Linked DNA regions of Rhinolophus ferrumequinum. The protein of the gene in region 1 interacts with the protein of each later gene in a pairwise test. Links are inferred from orthologs where the notes say so. Each region holds a gene or a part of one and is shown in the gene's direction. Other genes may lie near its edges.

The links.
Region 2: the proteins of TRIM38 (region 1) and RFC5 interact in binary tests that used the Homo sapiens proteins (3 or more experiments, as listed by UniProt). The link is inferred for Rhinolophus ferrumequinum from reciprocal best matches to the Homo sapiens genes TRIM38 and RFC5.

What each region holds. Positions count from the first base shown.
Region 1 is NC_046305.1:1,629,424-1,637,512, forward strand, and holds the start of TRIM38 (E3 ubiquitin-protein ligase TRIM38), read left to right. Parts: upstream 1-4,995; 5' UTR 4,996-5,106; intron 5,107-6,134; 5' UTR 6,135-6,262; coding exon 6,263-6,673; intron 6,674-8,089. UniProt on the Homo sapiens protein: E3 ubiquitin-protein and E3 SUMO-protein ligase that acts as a regulator of innate immunity. Acts as a negative regulator of type I interferon IFN-beta production by catalyzing 'Lys-48'-linked polyubiquitination of AZI2/NAP1, leading to its degradation.
Region 2 is NC_046308.1:11,466,325-11,473,903, forward strand, and holds the start of RFC5 (replication factor C subunit 5), read left to right. Parts: upstream 1-4,528; 5' UTR 4,529-4,659; coding exon 4,660-4,730; intron 4,731-6,255; coding exon 6,256-6,320; intron 6,321-6,589; coding exon 6,590-6,726; intron 6,727-7,579. UniProt on the Homo sapiens protein: Subunit of the replication factor C (RFC) complex which acts during elongation of primed DNA templates by DNA polymerases delta and epsilon, and is necessary for ATP-dependent loading of proliferating cell nuclear antigen (PCNA) onto primed DNA.

The sequences.
Region 1 (8,089 bases):
CAAAGGCATGAAGGGACTTTGGGGGACTGACAAGAAACATGACACACTTTTTTTTTCTTTTTCCCCCCCAAATCAACTGCTTTTCCCAGCAGCAGAAATAATCAGCCAGGAATGGAAATAGAAAGTTTTTATTGTTCTCCAGCAAGAAAAACTATAAAGTTTTTAGAAATTATAGGAACAAAAAAAGTGTGACTCAAAGGAAAAAAAAAATCAGTGAAATTTAATTAAAGGGCATAAGACAGGATCGGATCATGTGGAACTATTTTACTGCGTGGGAGAACCTAATGTCATGAAAAGACCAACCCTCTGAATTAATAAACACATGCAGTGAGAATCAGAAGAAAAACTAGACGAGGTTGGGAATCGCCTAATGGCCCATCAGTGGGAGAAGTGAACATACGGCAACACACTGTTATCATAGGAAATTAGGCAACAGTTTAAAACAATGTTTAGTTTAGACCAAACTTTCTGAAAATGTAAACCTGATCACTGCTGCTTAAAACATACGAGTGATTCCCAGTTGTTTCATTGTTTCCAGCGGATTATCTCTAATTACACAGTTGTTCTGGAGAAGCAAAACAAGACAGCCTGGCATATACATAGATTCTTTGTCAAGTCTCTCATTTTCCTTTCAAAATTCGTGCAAATGGTGCATCTGACTGAACTTGTTTAAAGCAAATAAAAACATGTTCCCCGAATGGTTGCGTAAAACGGGCACTTCAGAGAAATGCTTCTAGTTTCCTGTGGCCTCTGCATGCTGTCCCCCACTCCTGCTTCTGTTTCCATATGGCTTTGCGCCGAGGAAGCACAGGAACCACAGACGGAGTCCGTGCCCCTGAGTATTACGTGTGACGCCTTTGTGACCTGCCCTTCCTGACTCCTCACCCAGATTTCTCACTGTTTTCTGAGCTGGAATTTTTTATCTGGGTGTTTTGGGTTTTCCTAAAAGTCAGACTGGGTTTTTTCTTTCTCTGAATACAAAATAAATAAATGCTCTTTGTACGTAATTTGAAACAATACAGAAAGACCTGAGGAAAGGTGCGCCTAAAATCTTGTTCCTCAGAGCTGATTACCTTGGGCCCATGCTTGCTGTCTCCCTGGTTTCCCCAAGGCTTTTTTGTGTTGCTTGGAACTGCATTTTAAGATCCGTATTCCAGAGCCACGCCAGGTTATACCCTAGTATTCCGGGTCTCGCCCTGTGACAGTCCAGACTCTGCCCTGTAGGCAGCTTCACGGAGGTCCCACTGCCGGGCTTAGCCCCGACTTGCCCCCACCTCCCAGGACTACTTCTTCCGAAGGTGCATAGCCCTGGACGTCACTTGGCACAGACAGGTCTGCAGCCTCTTTCAGCATGTGACAGACAGACCCTAAAGTGGCCTCTATGACTTTGTTACATCCATGCCTTGAGTGTGGGTGTGACTTGTGGTCTCCTTCTAACCAATGGAAAATGGCTAAGGTGATGGGATGTTGCCTCCCTGATTATATTGTATTGTTTTAGCCCCGTCTTCCTCACAGGTTTGCTCTCTCTGTCTCTCTTTTGCTGGCTCGGAGGGAGTGAGTGGCTGCAATAGGGAAACACCACGTGGGAGGGAACTGTGGGCAGCCTCTAGGAGCAGAGGCGACCACCCCCCCCCCCCACACACACACGGAATGTAAATGCAGTTCTGCAGCTGGGTTTTGCCAACAACACGAGGAAGCTTGGAGGTGGATATTTCCCTCATCATGCCTCTGACGACACTTCAGATACATCCAACACCTGGATTGCAGCCAGGTGAGACCCCCAAGCAGAGGCCCAGCTAAGCCACGCCCGAAAATTCAGACCTACAGACACTGGGCAAAACCACACATGCATTGTTTCAAGATGCTAAGTTGCTAGTCATTCATTTTGCAGCAATAGATAAATAACACACATGAGCCAGAGTCCATGCCAGACACACACTCAAACAGTGAGCCTGCCTCTGGCTCCATGTCCTTACACAGAGTAGTCATCATTTCTGTCTTCTTTCCCCTGCAGGTGTCATGTCCCCACACTCTGTGCAGAGCTCCTGGTCCTGGGGTCCATAGGCCTGTAGCCTCAGCTTTATGCAAAGCTTTGCGTCTCCCCTTACTTCCCAGCTTACGGAGATGTTTATATTGTTTTCAAGGTTTGCTAAGCTTCTTCCCTTCTCTATGTATCTTTTACCTAGTATGGCTTTGTGTTTGAAGTAGAGGAGAATGCCTTTTATATTCATCTTGGCCCAAGTCTCTTTAAAAAAAAACACCAAAAAACTGGTATTATTTATTTATGTATTTTTCTGTTTACAAAAGTAACAGATACTGTACTTATTCTGCCTTGAAACCGCCCTCAGAGTTTGAATTCTGAGTAACACGCACACTCACTCAGAAAGAGTGGGAGTCGGGACAAACCCACACATTTTTTCTCTTCCCTGTTCCCTCCCACCCCAGCCTGCAAGCGGCCCCACAGCCGACATGCTCAGTGGGGTGAACCTTCATCTCATGTCAGGGGAACTGTGGTCTCAAAATGCCATGCTATGAACACCCACACCCCGCGCTCTCTCTGTAGTCATGGTGGAGTAAATACAGTCAAAGCTTTCTGGCCAAAAGGATTTCAAAGGGAGGCCCGGAAACTGAAAGTGCCCGGGAGATCTTGAAGAAGGAGGGGCTTGGGAGGGTAGCCCCACGTGGATGCACAAGGACCCTGGGTCCCAGCCCAGGCAGTGCTGCGCGTATCCCACCGACACTGCACCTTAGAAGTGAGAAAGGAACGATGAACACACAATGACCACTGACTGGCCACTGGGTGGCACACGCGGGAGACAAATCTGAAGAGCACTGCAAAGCCTGGCAAACTGAAAGGACCCCCAGAAAGCTGATGCAAACACACAGCCTGGACCTAAAGACGTTGAGTGTTTGCTAAAGCAAAAAAATGCCAACATTCTCAAGAGTATTTACACAAGACCCAGAGTCTCATAAGGTAATAGTCAAATGATCAGGATACAAACCAAAAGAATGAAGCGTATGAAGAATCGGGAAAATGGCGACATCTCATGTGGGAAAAGGGGATCACAGATGCCACATGTACTTAGGTGACAATTTGTTAGAATTTTCTGACAAGACTTAAAGCAGCTATTTAAAAAAAAATGCTCCAACAATTGCAAATGTTCTTGAAATGACTAAAGATATATAAATCCTAGTAAAGAAATACAAGATGTAAAGAAAATGGAAATTTTAGAATTGAAAAAAAAAGAAATAAAACAATGCAGTGGTTCCTAACTTATTTAACATGTTACTATTGTTAGCAGGCAATTTGCGTCCAGTGTTTTTCTATCATAAATACACGCCTACAAACACTTACATCTTTTTTAAGGAGACTCCGTTGAACCACTGGCTGTGGGTCTCCAGTTTTCCTGCATCCCAGACTCACAGGGCCAAGCCCAGCCTCACTGATAGGAGGGGAGGCATTTCCTACTGGGGTAGGGGGTGGGGTGGGGGTGGGCAGCTCCTACTGGTCTCTCCCTGGGCCCACCTTCGGGGAACATACCTCTGGAGGCCTATTGCAGCCCCTGTCACCTTGTATGACCTGCAGCTGTCTGCATGGGCCGGTTTCTCCTTCACGCCACGGGACACAGGGGCAAGGTGGGCAGCTGGCACAGCACGCAGCCCATCGTAATGGTGCTGCTTTGTTGCTAGTGGTCGTTTGTTTTCCTCTTGGCTTTCACTTGCTTCCTTTCCCTCATCCTTGGACAGCACAAATTTGAGATGTGCTGTGCCTGGGTCCAGTGTCACAGCCACAGAAATGAAGGGCATGGGAATCACAAGGAGCCCTCACCATCTCAGGGAGTTGGTGGCTGTGTCCTCTGCCTGCATGCTGGCTGCTTCAGGCCTGCCCTGTGCGGGGTCTGCCACAGGATGTGCCAGGGCACAGGAGGCACTGGCTGGCACCGTGGCTGAGCCTCTGTGAGCTCCCTGGAGAGGGCAGTGCTGACGAGGTGCCTGCGTGCGGTGGAAAGAGAGGGTCTGTTTTCACAATTTTGCTTCCAGCCTGAGCAGCCTGGCCAAAGTCCCGCCAGGCCCCGTCTGTGCTGCCCAGGGCACAGCTTCCCACAGGACCGTCAGGGTCAGCACCTGACCGGCCAAGCGCGGGGCCCAGCATTGGTCCCCGGCAGCTGGTAGGGTCCACGCCTGACTTCTGCCGGGAGTTGAGCCTCCCTGACTGGCCCCTCGGGACACTGCAGAAATTATTTCCTGTGCGAACATCTGTTGTGTGTGCGTTTATTGTAAGTGCGTCTAATACCTGCAGCTATGCGTATGGCAAGCTCTTCCTCTGAGGTGGTGCCCTGGTTTTCCCTTGTCAGTCACAGCTCTGAATGGGGCAGGGACAGTCCTTTGGCTCCCGTGTGAACAGGAGGGGCTGCAGCTGAGTTGGAGTTCCTGCCCCGAAGCCCACAGCCTTTTCTGCACCAGACGCAGAGCACAGTGATGGCCCTGGGGTCACAGGGCCCTTCATTACAGCTGGGTCATCATGGCTCCTGGCGGCTTGCTGACTATTGCTGGGTGTCCTGGTAAGTATCTGAATCCTGCAGAGGGACATGGGGGTGGGGTGAGTCATGACACAGTGAGAGGACCAGAAGGACAGACACAGGCTGGAGCCATTCCTGTCACCTCAGTAGGTCCTACCAACCCTATCTTACTACCCTCTTAAGAGTGGTTATAAAAAAGTAAGCGACCTAAAACTAGCAAACTAGATATTTGCCGGAAGTCTGATGGATCACGATGGGGATGGTGACAAAAGCAGAAAAGTCTTCAGTCCAACTCTGTGAGCTGCACAGACTTCCTGACCCCCGACGTGTGCTGGGTCACAAAGCAGCTCAGGGTGACCAATCCGTCCCTTTCTCATTGCTGTAAAAGAGGATATTTTCCCAGCCCTGTGCCCCGCCCCCATCAGGGCTAGCTGAGTACAAAACAGTGGGCCAGTTCACTAGTTTCCGCCCCACCCCACAGGCCCCGCCCCCAGAATTTTCTTTCTGTTTGCTCCAGTCTGAGTTAACTTCCTCAACTGCCTGGTCCGGACTGGCAGCTCCCAGGGACCCCAGCTGCAGTGTCTAGGTACTGGGAAGGGTCCAGGCCAGGGTTTGTGGGGGGGACACCACAGCTGGGTGTGGAGGGGGGTGGCAGGGAGGGTGTGTGCCAGAGCTGTAGAGCCAGGACGTGGCCTGGGCAGTCATCAGCCCCTGTCACCCTGTCTGCTTTCACTTTCCCCAGGCCCCATGCAGACAGTCTCGGGGCATCCAGGATGTGAGGTGAGCACAGGCTGAGCAGGGCGCCCTGGGGCCTCGGGAGGGGCACAGCCCCCCTGCCACTGAGCAGCCTCTGTCCCTGGGAATCACCTGCCATGGAGCAGCCTTCAGGCGACCTTCTCTGGTCCCGAGCCACAGGCCCTACTTGTTAGAGGAAACAGGGTCTCCAGTAACTGGTGTTGAATGCTTATTTCTGATTCCACCAGTCAGTTCAAAGAGGCCAGTCTCTAACCGGCCTGGTGTGGGCAGGGGGGCAGGGCTGGGGTCCCTGGCACACCCTTGATATGGTCCCCCCTCTGCCGCCCATTTGGCAGGTGCCAGAGACCCTGTCACCGCCTCATCCTCAGCTCTCTTTCCCCCTCAATCAGGGACAATCACAGAGACAACAAACGCATCCATCTGGTGGCCCTTTCTACCTCTGCTGTCACCCTGCTGGGGTCCCCACGAGACTATTAACCTGGTGCCTGTGTTCTTTGTGGGGTGGGGGTGGGGGTACAAGCGATGTGATCCTCTGATGGAACCCTCCATGACCACCGGCTGTAACTAATTATTCTTATTGTTGAGCAGGATAGGAAGGGTTCACACGCCCTCGGTGAGCTCTCTCTCTCTCTCTGTCTCTCTCTCTGTCTCTCTCTCGGCACTTGGTTCAAGAAAACTTTCAGCCATGATGGAAGGTTCTATGTCTGGGCTGCAGTGTAGCCATCGGGATGTGACCAGTGCAACTGAGAAGCTGAACTTTGAGTCCGATGTAGTTTTACTGAGTTGAGTGGCCACACGATGGCCACGGCCCAGCCCCAGGTCATGCCCTTCTGAGTCCCACTCCATCTCTTTGTCCAGAGAGAAGACCTTGGGACCTGGGGTCAGTGGCACCGCAGCCCAAGTGACACATGCGTCCGTCACTGTGGGGGTTCTGGCTGCTCCCTCTCCGCCCCTGGATCTGATCCTGGAGGTTTTCGGGAGAAGCCATGGCCTCAGCCCCAGCCAGCGAGAGGATAAGGGAGGAAGCCACCTGCTCCATCTGCCTGAACCTGATGGCCGAGCCGCTGAGCATCAGCTGTGGACACAGCTACTGCCAGCTGTGCATAGAGGACTTCCTGGACAAACATGGCCACCAGCAGCAACCTCTAGGCACGTACCTCTGTCCCCAGTGCCGGGCTCCATTCCGCAGGACGAGCCTGCGGCCCAACAAGCAGCTGGGGAACCTCATTGAGGCCATGAAGGAGCTGAACCTCGAGATAACGTGCAAAAAGCACGGGGAGCAGCTCCACCTGTTCTGCGAGGATGAGGGCTGGCTCATCTGCTGGCGCTGTGAGCGGTCACCGGAGCACAAGGGGCACGTCACCGTGCTCGTGGAAGACGCTTGCCTGGGCTACAAGGTTAGTGTGTGGGTCTGGGACGGGGCTTCGGCGGGTCCCCACTCTCATTGCTCCCCAGACCTGAGGTCATCCAGCCGGACACCAAGGTTGCATCCCGAAGGATGACTTTCCCCATCTACTTCTTCTAGAAAATGGCTCAGGATGGGTTCTCCGGGGGTCACGTCCCCACAGCCCATCCTGACCTTGTGTGACCTTGTGTGAGACGGTCAGACTCGTCTTGCAGAGAGGACCTTCTCCCAGCACTAGAACAATGTCCCCAAACCCATACCCACGCACTCCATTGCCCTCACACTGTGTGTGAGATTTGAGGCACCGCTGGGGACAAACATACCATCTTTCAGGCATCCCACAGACAAACCAGGGAAGACAGACCAGCAGAAGGACTTCCCGGAGGCCCCTGGTTTGTGATGGGGATGACTCCTGAAGGGCACATAAAACTTCCCTGTATACAGAAGTGTGGAGGGAAGCGAGGGCGTGCCAGGCCGAGCGGATCACAGGGAAAAGTACAGCCGTGGGAGCTGGGCTGACTGTCGTACCTGAGAGGCAGGTACCAGCTCAGGTCCACATCCAAGTGCAGGGTGGTCCTGGCCTCGGGCACTTGCATATGCAGAATGAAGGTAGACACTGAAAAGAGCTTTCTCACAGTGACAAAACAGAAGGAATGTCAAGGAGTAAAATTCTGATCATTCCTATAAGAAGGGAGGAGAGGACGGTTGTCAGCAAGATTCAGGAAGGGGGCCGAAGGACGTGGAAATGGCTGTGGAGGAAGCTGACCCTGGCTGTGGGGACATAGGGAGAGGACACGTCCTGCTGCTTTACCCCTTCTCTGCCCTGCCTAGATTTGAGGAAAATGTCCCGGGGGGGTAGGGGGGTGGTTCCTGTTCCATCCCCCACGAGGCCGAGGTGAGCTTGTATCACGTCCTGGGCTGTCCATCAGGACATGTCCCTGGGCAGCCCTTCCTCAAACTCCATGGGCAGCTCATTACAGGAATGGAGACATTTCCCACCAGGTAGCTTGAAAAGGGACACCACAGGGTGACGGTTCTGAGCCTTGGACTCGGATTGTGGGTTTGAAACCTTAGCTCTGCCACTGACTCGATGGGTGACTCTGGCCAGTTATTTAATGTCTGCATGTCCCCATTTGTAAATGGGGACAACAGCAGCCCCCCTCACCACACACATGCCTAGGAAGCTGTCACAAGCTTTAAGTACAGTCACCTAAGCAAAGCCTGGAATAGCACTCAGCACCCAGCAGGTACACCCAGCCCTTACCTAACAAGCACCAGGGCCCTTTCTCGCCAACACGGGCACATGGTGAGTGTGCTGTCGGGTGACAGAGGACAGGACCTCCTTCTTTCAGTTTGGACCTGTTTCAAGCTGCTTTCCATGCGAACGTGAGAAACTATTTTGAAAAAT
Region 2 (7,579 bases), on another chromosome or scaffold:
CTTGAAAAATCAAGTCTGGCAACATTTGGTTGCTGTCCCGAATACTGGGGTAGTGGACATTTGTGATCCTTTGGCCGCAGTATCTGAACCCCTCTCCTATGTTCAGGGATTGTTCCCAGTTCACAAGGCTTGGTGGGAAGCAGAAGTCTTTCCCGCCATTCAAGCTATATACCAAGCACTCACTAGCATGATACCCAGGCTTGGCCATTTTGACATGTCTCCCAGGCTTTTAAGTGGGGCGCTAGTTTTTAGAAGAATCCAGTACAGGTTAGAACTGATCAGTGGTTCTGATAGAAATGATGAAAGCAATTCTAGGAACTATGGGGGCAGTAGCATCCAAAGGTCAGCAGCTGCAAGTTTCCTTACTGGATTGGTTCCGTGGAGTAATTCTGACCATGGTTTCAGTTCCATGGCCGTCTTTGTCCTATTTTCCAATGAGCCTGCCTGCTCATTGTGAGCTATTTAATATTCCGTGGCTAAATTCCTTTTCTGCTTAAATCTTCGATCTACAAACTCTGCTTCCTTGAGGTATAGTTTCCACACAACCCTCTTCCTTTATATATGAACTTCCAAGCTACTTATACATGTGAGCTCGTCATCATGTCTCTTTCTCTTTAAAGTGATAGAATACAGTGGTACCTTGATTTTCTAACATAATCCATTCCAGAAGACCGTTTGAGTTCTGAAACATTAAAAAACTGAGGTGCAGTTTCCCCATAGAAAGTAAATGCAAAATGGATTAATCCATTCCAGACCTTTAAAATCAACCCCTAAAACTACAAATTTAGCATGAATTTTACTACCTAATGATACTATGGATCCACAAAATTTACGGCATTTGTAAACCGAAATGTTCATTAACAGAGATGTTCGAAAACCAAGGTACCACTGTATTGATATTGGAAGAGAAGCTAAAGATCCTCTAATGCAAGGATCAGCAAAGTAATGAGAAGTTTCCCAGAGGAGCTGCTCCCATTTCCCCTTACATCTCACTGGGCAGCACTGGGTCACATGCTCACCCTGTAAACCAATCAGAGGACGAGGGGTTGCTGTGATTGGCAACCCTGGAGCAGTAGTTCAACTTTGGCTGAATATTAAAATCATCTGGGGAGCTTTTTAAAATGCCAATGCTGGGTCCCTACCCCCAGAGACCCAAGTTAATTGGTCTGGCTGGACTTCTGGCACTGGAATTTTTTTAAAAAATCCTCAGGTGCTTTTAATGCCATTCCTGTCTCTAGTTCAACCTCCCACCCCTCTCCATTTTACAGGTCCTAATATTGAGGTCCAAAGAGATACTAAGTAACTTGCCCAAAGAATTATACCTTCAAGTAAGAGCAAAAACAAACACAAACAAAACCACACACACACACACACAAATGGCATTTAATAAGACACGTTTGTTTTTCTGTAATATGCATGTGAGCACACATTCTTTTTCTTAGAAAGTGAAGTCATGGAGAGCTCAAGGACTGAGAAGCAGTAGGTAGGGCAGTGGTTCTCAAACTCGATTGCATCAGAATCCCCCGGAGTCCACACAGGTGGCTGGGCCCACCCCCAGAGTTTCAGATTCAATAGGTTTGGGGTTGGGGGAAAGAATAATGAACACTTCTAACAAGTTCCCAGGGGATGTTACTGCTGCTAGTCCAAGGACCACACTCGTATAGTGGCTAAGAGCGGAGGCTATAGAATCGTAGTATCTTGGTAAGATCTGTTTCTGCCCGACACCTTGTCAGAACACGGGCAAGTTACTTAACATGTCTATGAAACGGGGCCAATGATAGTAGCTTGGGCTTATCACAACAATCGTGTGAGTATAATAAACGTATGACACTTAGAACAGTGCCTGACCTATAGTAACTGTCTAATGAATATTAGCTGTTAGCATTCATTCATTCATTGAACAATTCCTTTGAGCCAGGCACTGTTCCTGGCATCAGGAATACAGTCGTGAATAAGTCAAAGCTTAGCCTCTCAATGAGCTTACAATCCACTGGGGAGACAGACAATAGATAACCTTGTAAATACCTAATATAATGTCACACAGAAGAATTCTGTATTCCAAGGAAACTGACGAGCAGGTGCACACAGTTTTATGAGAACTTGGTCCAGTCCTGTTTGCATCTATCAGCTCGAGGACTGGTGGCATCATGCTTCTAATGCAAAGGCTCCATAACAAGATGGCTTTTACTATGGTGGTTGAAGGAAGCCCAGGTTATGGCATTTTAGTCATGGTTCTCCACAGAAATAGAACCAATAAAAAAATGTGTGTGTGTGTGTGTGTGTGATTTATAGTTACACTTAGATTTATGTACATTTTCAAACATTCAAGTATTTCTATATTCTACATTCTACAATAAATATATATTAATATATAACACGTGTAACATATAACATATTGTATATTAATAATACAGTTATATAACTATTTTATATTTTTAATATTTTATATATTCATATTTATATTATATATGCCATAGGAATTGGCTAAAGTGAATATGGAGGGCAAGAAATCCCACAATCTGCTGTTTGCAAGCTGAAGACCAAGGAAAGCTGGTGATTTAATTTAGTCTGAGTTCGAAGACCTGAGAATCAAGAGCACAGGTGTTGGAGGACAAAAGATGGGTGTCCCGGCTCAAAAAGAAAGCAAATTCACGCTTCCTCTGCCTTTTTGTTTTATTCAGGCCCTGAGCAGGTTGGGCGACGCCCACCTGCGTTAGTGCAGGTGATCTTTATTTAGTCTACTGATTCAAATGCCAATCTCTTGCAAAAACACCCTTAGAGACAACCCCCAAAATAATATTTTACGAACTCCCTTAGCTCAGTCAAGTTGACACATAAAAATAATCCTCACAGGCATAGTCACACCAGCCAATTCTTTAAGTTTTGTTTGAGAGGAAACATTTGAAACAAGATGTCAGGCAGGGACTCAGCCCTCATTCCCCGCACAAGAACTCAGGATATGGTGAGGCCGAAAAGAAACAACGGAGCCACAGATAGAGGAGTCATACTACCATATTCTCGATGGCGGCTGGTCGAGACACAGGAAGTAAGATCAACACGATCTGCAATCCACAATCCACTGGCTAACCGCAATGACTAGCTTGCTACCCGCAATTGCTAGCCGTAATCCGCCATGTGCTTCTCTGCCAACCAACTAACCAACCTCCTAGCATAGCCATGGCAGTTATATTAGTGGCTAATGGCTAACTGGTTACAGTGGATAGCCAACTAGTCACAGCTGATGGCCATCTACTACCTGAGCCAGCACCTTTCCACGTGAGGATGAGAGCCTGGAAACTGCTCTCTGGGGCTCTGTCCCCACACAAGAACAGATGGGTGGCCAGCTAGTGTTATTAGGTTGGTGCAAAAGCAATTGCGGTTTAAAAGGTTAAAACCAATCGCACCAATAGAAGGGAAGTTATTCCATTGAATTCTCACGATCATTTGGGGGTAAATATTATTTTGGAGAAGGAGAGAAGCAACCTGCCCGAAGCTAAGTGGCAAAAGTGGCGTGTTAATGATCTGAACAACTAGTATTAGGATTGGCCTGGAGGAAGCAGAGGGTAGAGGCGCTGTCGTACCACGAGCCACATCTGACCCCCTGCTTCTGAACCCCCAGGCAGGCGCTAGGGTGAAGCCATACTGCCATCATGTAATTGCTCACTGTCCCTCTACTCTGCTCCTAACACAGGTGACAGTGACACAATAAAATGCAAGGAGCAGCTACTTCTGAATCAGAACACCCTGACTCCACGCCAGCCTCATCTCCTCTCAGTATTGGCTTTCTCAACGTGTAAAAAACAAACAAACAAACAAACACTTTATTATGGATGTAACAGACACTCTTTCCTGGGAAATACCAGCAACATTCTCCCTTCACCTCCGGAAAAACACTACAAATTTGATACCAATTCTCAGTGTCTTCAGTTCATAGGGACCCTGTCTTCTATGCCTATTAACTAGCCCTTTCCAGGTACACATATTAACCTAATTGGAAGTTTATTGTTTTGTTTTCACTCTGGACTTGTTTCTGGGGGTTGGCTCTCTAAATTCTGTTGGGTGAGGGACATGAATTTGGGAGACAGATTGGAGTTGTGTTTGTTTGGAGTTGTTTTTCAATTCAAAGTACTCACCTCCCTGTTTTGGAGCCAAAAGGTTTTTCAAGCCTCTTTTCGTTTGGCACTTATGTTTAAGAACTGGCGTGGCATTTGGGGTTATTTTTTAGGGCTGGCAGCTTTCTGGTCCTTTGAAGGGCGAGTGTTTGAACTTTGGTGATGGCAAAATTGGCTTTGGCCATGACACTTTAATTTGTAATGATGACTGGCGATTGCAGGGGTGGCCTTACCTCTCCCTACCCCCCATCTCACTGGGCTCAGGAAGCCTCTTGGCACGGAAGAGCGGGCAGCGCGGGCTAGAAGGGGGGAGCGGGAGGGAAGCGAGGCCCGCGCTTCACGGTAACCAGGCAACCGGCGCCTTAGCAACAGAAAGGGGCGGGACCGAGAGAGGAAGTCGGAAGGCTGCGACTAAACCTCGCGATAGTTGCTTTTGCGCGCGAACTCTAAGAGCCGGGGTCCCCGGGTTAAGTTGGGGCTTTTCGGCGTGCAGGCTCCTGGGGGACGCGACGACCCCCGCCGATCCGGACACCTTCAGCACCCCACCATGGAAGCCTCGGCGCACAAGCAGCAGCAGCAGCAGCAGCCCGCGGCGACCAAGATCAGGAACCTGCCCTGGTAGGAGGAGGCCTGGCTGCCGCGCAGAAGGGGTCGGCCGCTCGGGAAGGCAGTGGTCGGGGTGCGCAGGGCGCCGGGCCGCCCCCCGACCTGCGGTGGGAGGGAGCCACAGAGGTGCGCCTCCACACCTCCAGTCCCCCAATTCCCCTCCGTTCTATTTATGACGTTTGCCAGATCTCCCTGGTCCCCTCCGTCCCATTCCTTCTACGGAAGAAGAAAGCGGCTTTCGCACCTGGGTAACAGCACAGGGCTTTGATCCCGCGTCTTCTGACACTGCATTGGCCACGGAGCCCGAATGGCCTCTTCTCTCTTGCCGAAATCTTCGCTGTGATTGGTCAAATTCTAAAACATAATAATAACACTCCCTAGTTGACTTTTACTTAAATGGCTTTCTATTAGATTATCAGGCACTCTCGATGTTTGATCTTTACGAAGATCCTAGGAGGTAGGTATTCTTTATTATTCCAGTTTTACAGTTGGAATACAACCAAAAGGTTAAATGACTAGCCTAAGGGCCAGAGCTAGAAAATAAATTTGGATTTGAATCCAAGTGGGCTGAATTCACAGCCTGCATTTACTTCCACAGCTATGTCCTAATGATGTTTTAAAGGCTGATGGGAGTTCGCTTGATTTCAGAAATCTTGTTCTTGTCTAACAACGGGTTCCATTTGTTTTTATTATGTTAAAAATACGTACAATTTACACTTGTAACCATTTTAAAGTGTACAGTTCCGTGGCATTAAGTACATTCAGAACGCTGTGCAACCATGCCACTGTCTAGTTCCAAAATTTTTCATCACCCCTAATAGAAATCCCATACCCACTGGCACCCACTCCCCTCCCTCCCCCCAGCCCCTGGCAACCACTAATCTGCTTTCTGTCTCTGTGAATTTGCCTATTTTGTATATTTCATATAAATACAGTCAATATCTGGCTTTTTGTGACTGGCTTGTTTTCACTTACTGTGTTTTCATGGTTCATCCATGAATGTATCACACTCCATTTCTTTTTATGGCTGAATAATATTCCATTGTATGGCTATACCATCATTTATTTATCCATTCATATGTTGATGTATACTTGGGTAGGAATTCAGTTTTGAATTCACACTGAAATAATAGGAGCCCATCCAGGTTGAGATTACACGCAGACAGCTGGAAAGGTGAAAGTGGAGCGGAGTTTATCGACTTCAGCCTTATGGACATTTTGGGCCAGCTCTGTGGGGTGGGGAGTTGGGGGGCCTGTCCTGTGCAGTGTAGGAGGTTTAGCCACATCCCTGGTGCCTGCCCACTAGATGCCAGTAGCACCCTCCACCCAACTGTGACAACTGAAAATGTCTCCAGATAGCGCCAAATGTTCCTTGGGGGACAAAACCACCCCTGGTTGAGGACCCCAGGTCTGTATTCAAATTTAAAGGGTTTTGTGTCTCTTCCTCTTTGAGTTAGGATATGAAAGGATTCTTGGGCATATAACAAAACGTTCTTGCATTAATATATGTTGTAATCCATGCTGAATTGTATTTCAGGGTTGAAAAATACCGGCCACAGGCACTGAGTGACCTCATTTCTCATCAGGACATTTTGAGTACCAGTAAGCATCCATGTGTCATTTGCTGTTATCCTAGTTGAAGGACCTGTTACATTTCTTGGTGCTCTTGTCTCTGCTAAGTAATAAGTTGGAAGACTGATTGAGCTTCGTGGAATGTGGCTGTAAGAGTTGCATCCTTCGGATATTTTGATTCCTGCATCTGCCTCTGATTTGCATATAGGGTTGAAGTGCATTTAGCCCAACTCACGGGCCCAAGTGAATGAAGCGACTCTCAGAAACTGATGAGGTCTCTCTTTCTTCCTGATCCTCAGTTCAAAAATTCATCAGTGAAGACCGACTGCCACACCTGCTTCTCTACGGTCCTCCGGGCACAGGAAAGACGTCCACCATCCTGGCCTGTGCTAAACAGCTATACAAAGATAAAGAATTCGGCTCCATGGTCCTGGAGGTAAACAGGAGGGTTATTCTTACTCGACAAGGGACTCGAGTCTCTTAGTTGTGCTAGTTTCATTTCACTTTACAAGTAAGTTGTCCCCCTGGTGGTTGGGAAAGAAGCCGATGTAAAATAAGAATACTTCAATTCACTTTTTACTATAATTGGAATTTTGGTCTGGATGGGCAGTAGCTAGAGGGCAGTTGTAGGGCTAAGTGTTTTTCTGTGCTGTTGACGGCTTATACCCACACGCTCCATGGTCCCCCGCTGAGTGATCGCTCCGTTGCTGGATATGTCCCACGTGCCCCGTCAGATTGACTACAAGCTCTTTTGCCCTCGAGCTCCTGGTTAGGTTTGGCCAATAGGGGCCCTGAGAGTCTGGGGAAAGGAGAATGATGCCTGGTCCTGCTCTGGGGGCCCCCACAGGCTGACAGCGTCCCCCCTGCAGGACACATAACACTGCCTGCTCCAGGTGCCAACACCACGCCCCTGTTAACCCCATAAGACTTGTGGGTGGTAATGGGCCCCAATAGTCCCTGAGGTATTGCATAGCTCTCTTGGTTCCCCACACCCCATGAACACCTTTAAAAATAACTCTTCATGTAATTCTCTTCAAATTGCTGAATCTGAGCATGCCATCTATTTACTGCTGAAACTCAACCGATACACTTAGATTACACAATTCTAAATATTGTCTATTGCACGAAAAATGATGTTTAACTTATTTTGTTATATGTCTTAGAACGTTGCTGCCACTAATGTGCTTACCTCAGTGTATTAAGAACTTGGTAACTTCTGGGTTGCTCTAGGTTTGGTAGCTAAAATAAGCATCATTCTACTCATGCCAGAGGTGCTGTTTACTTGACTA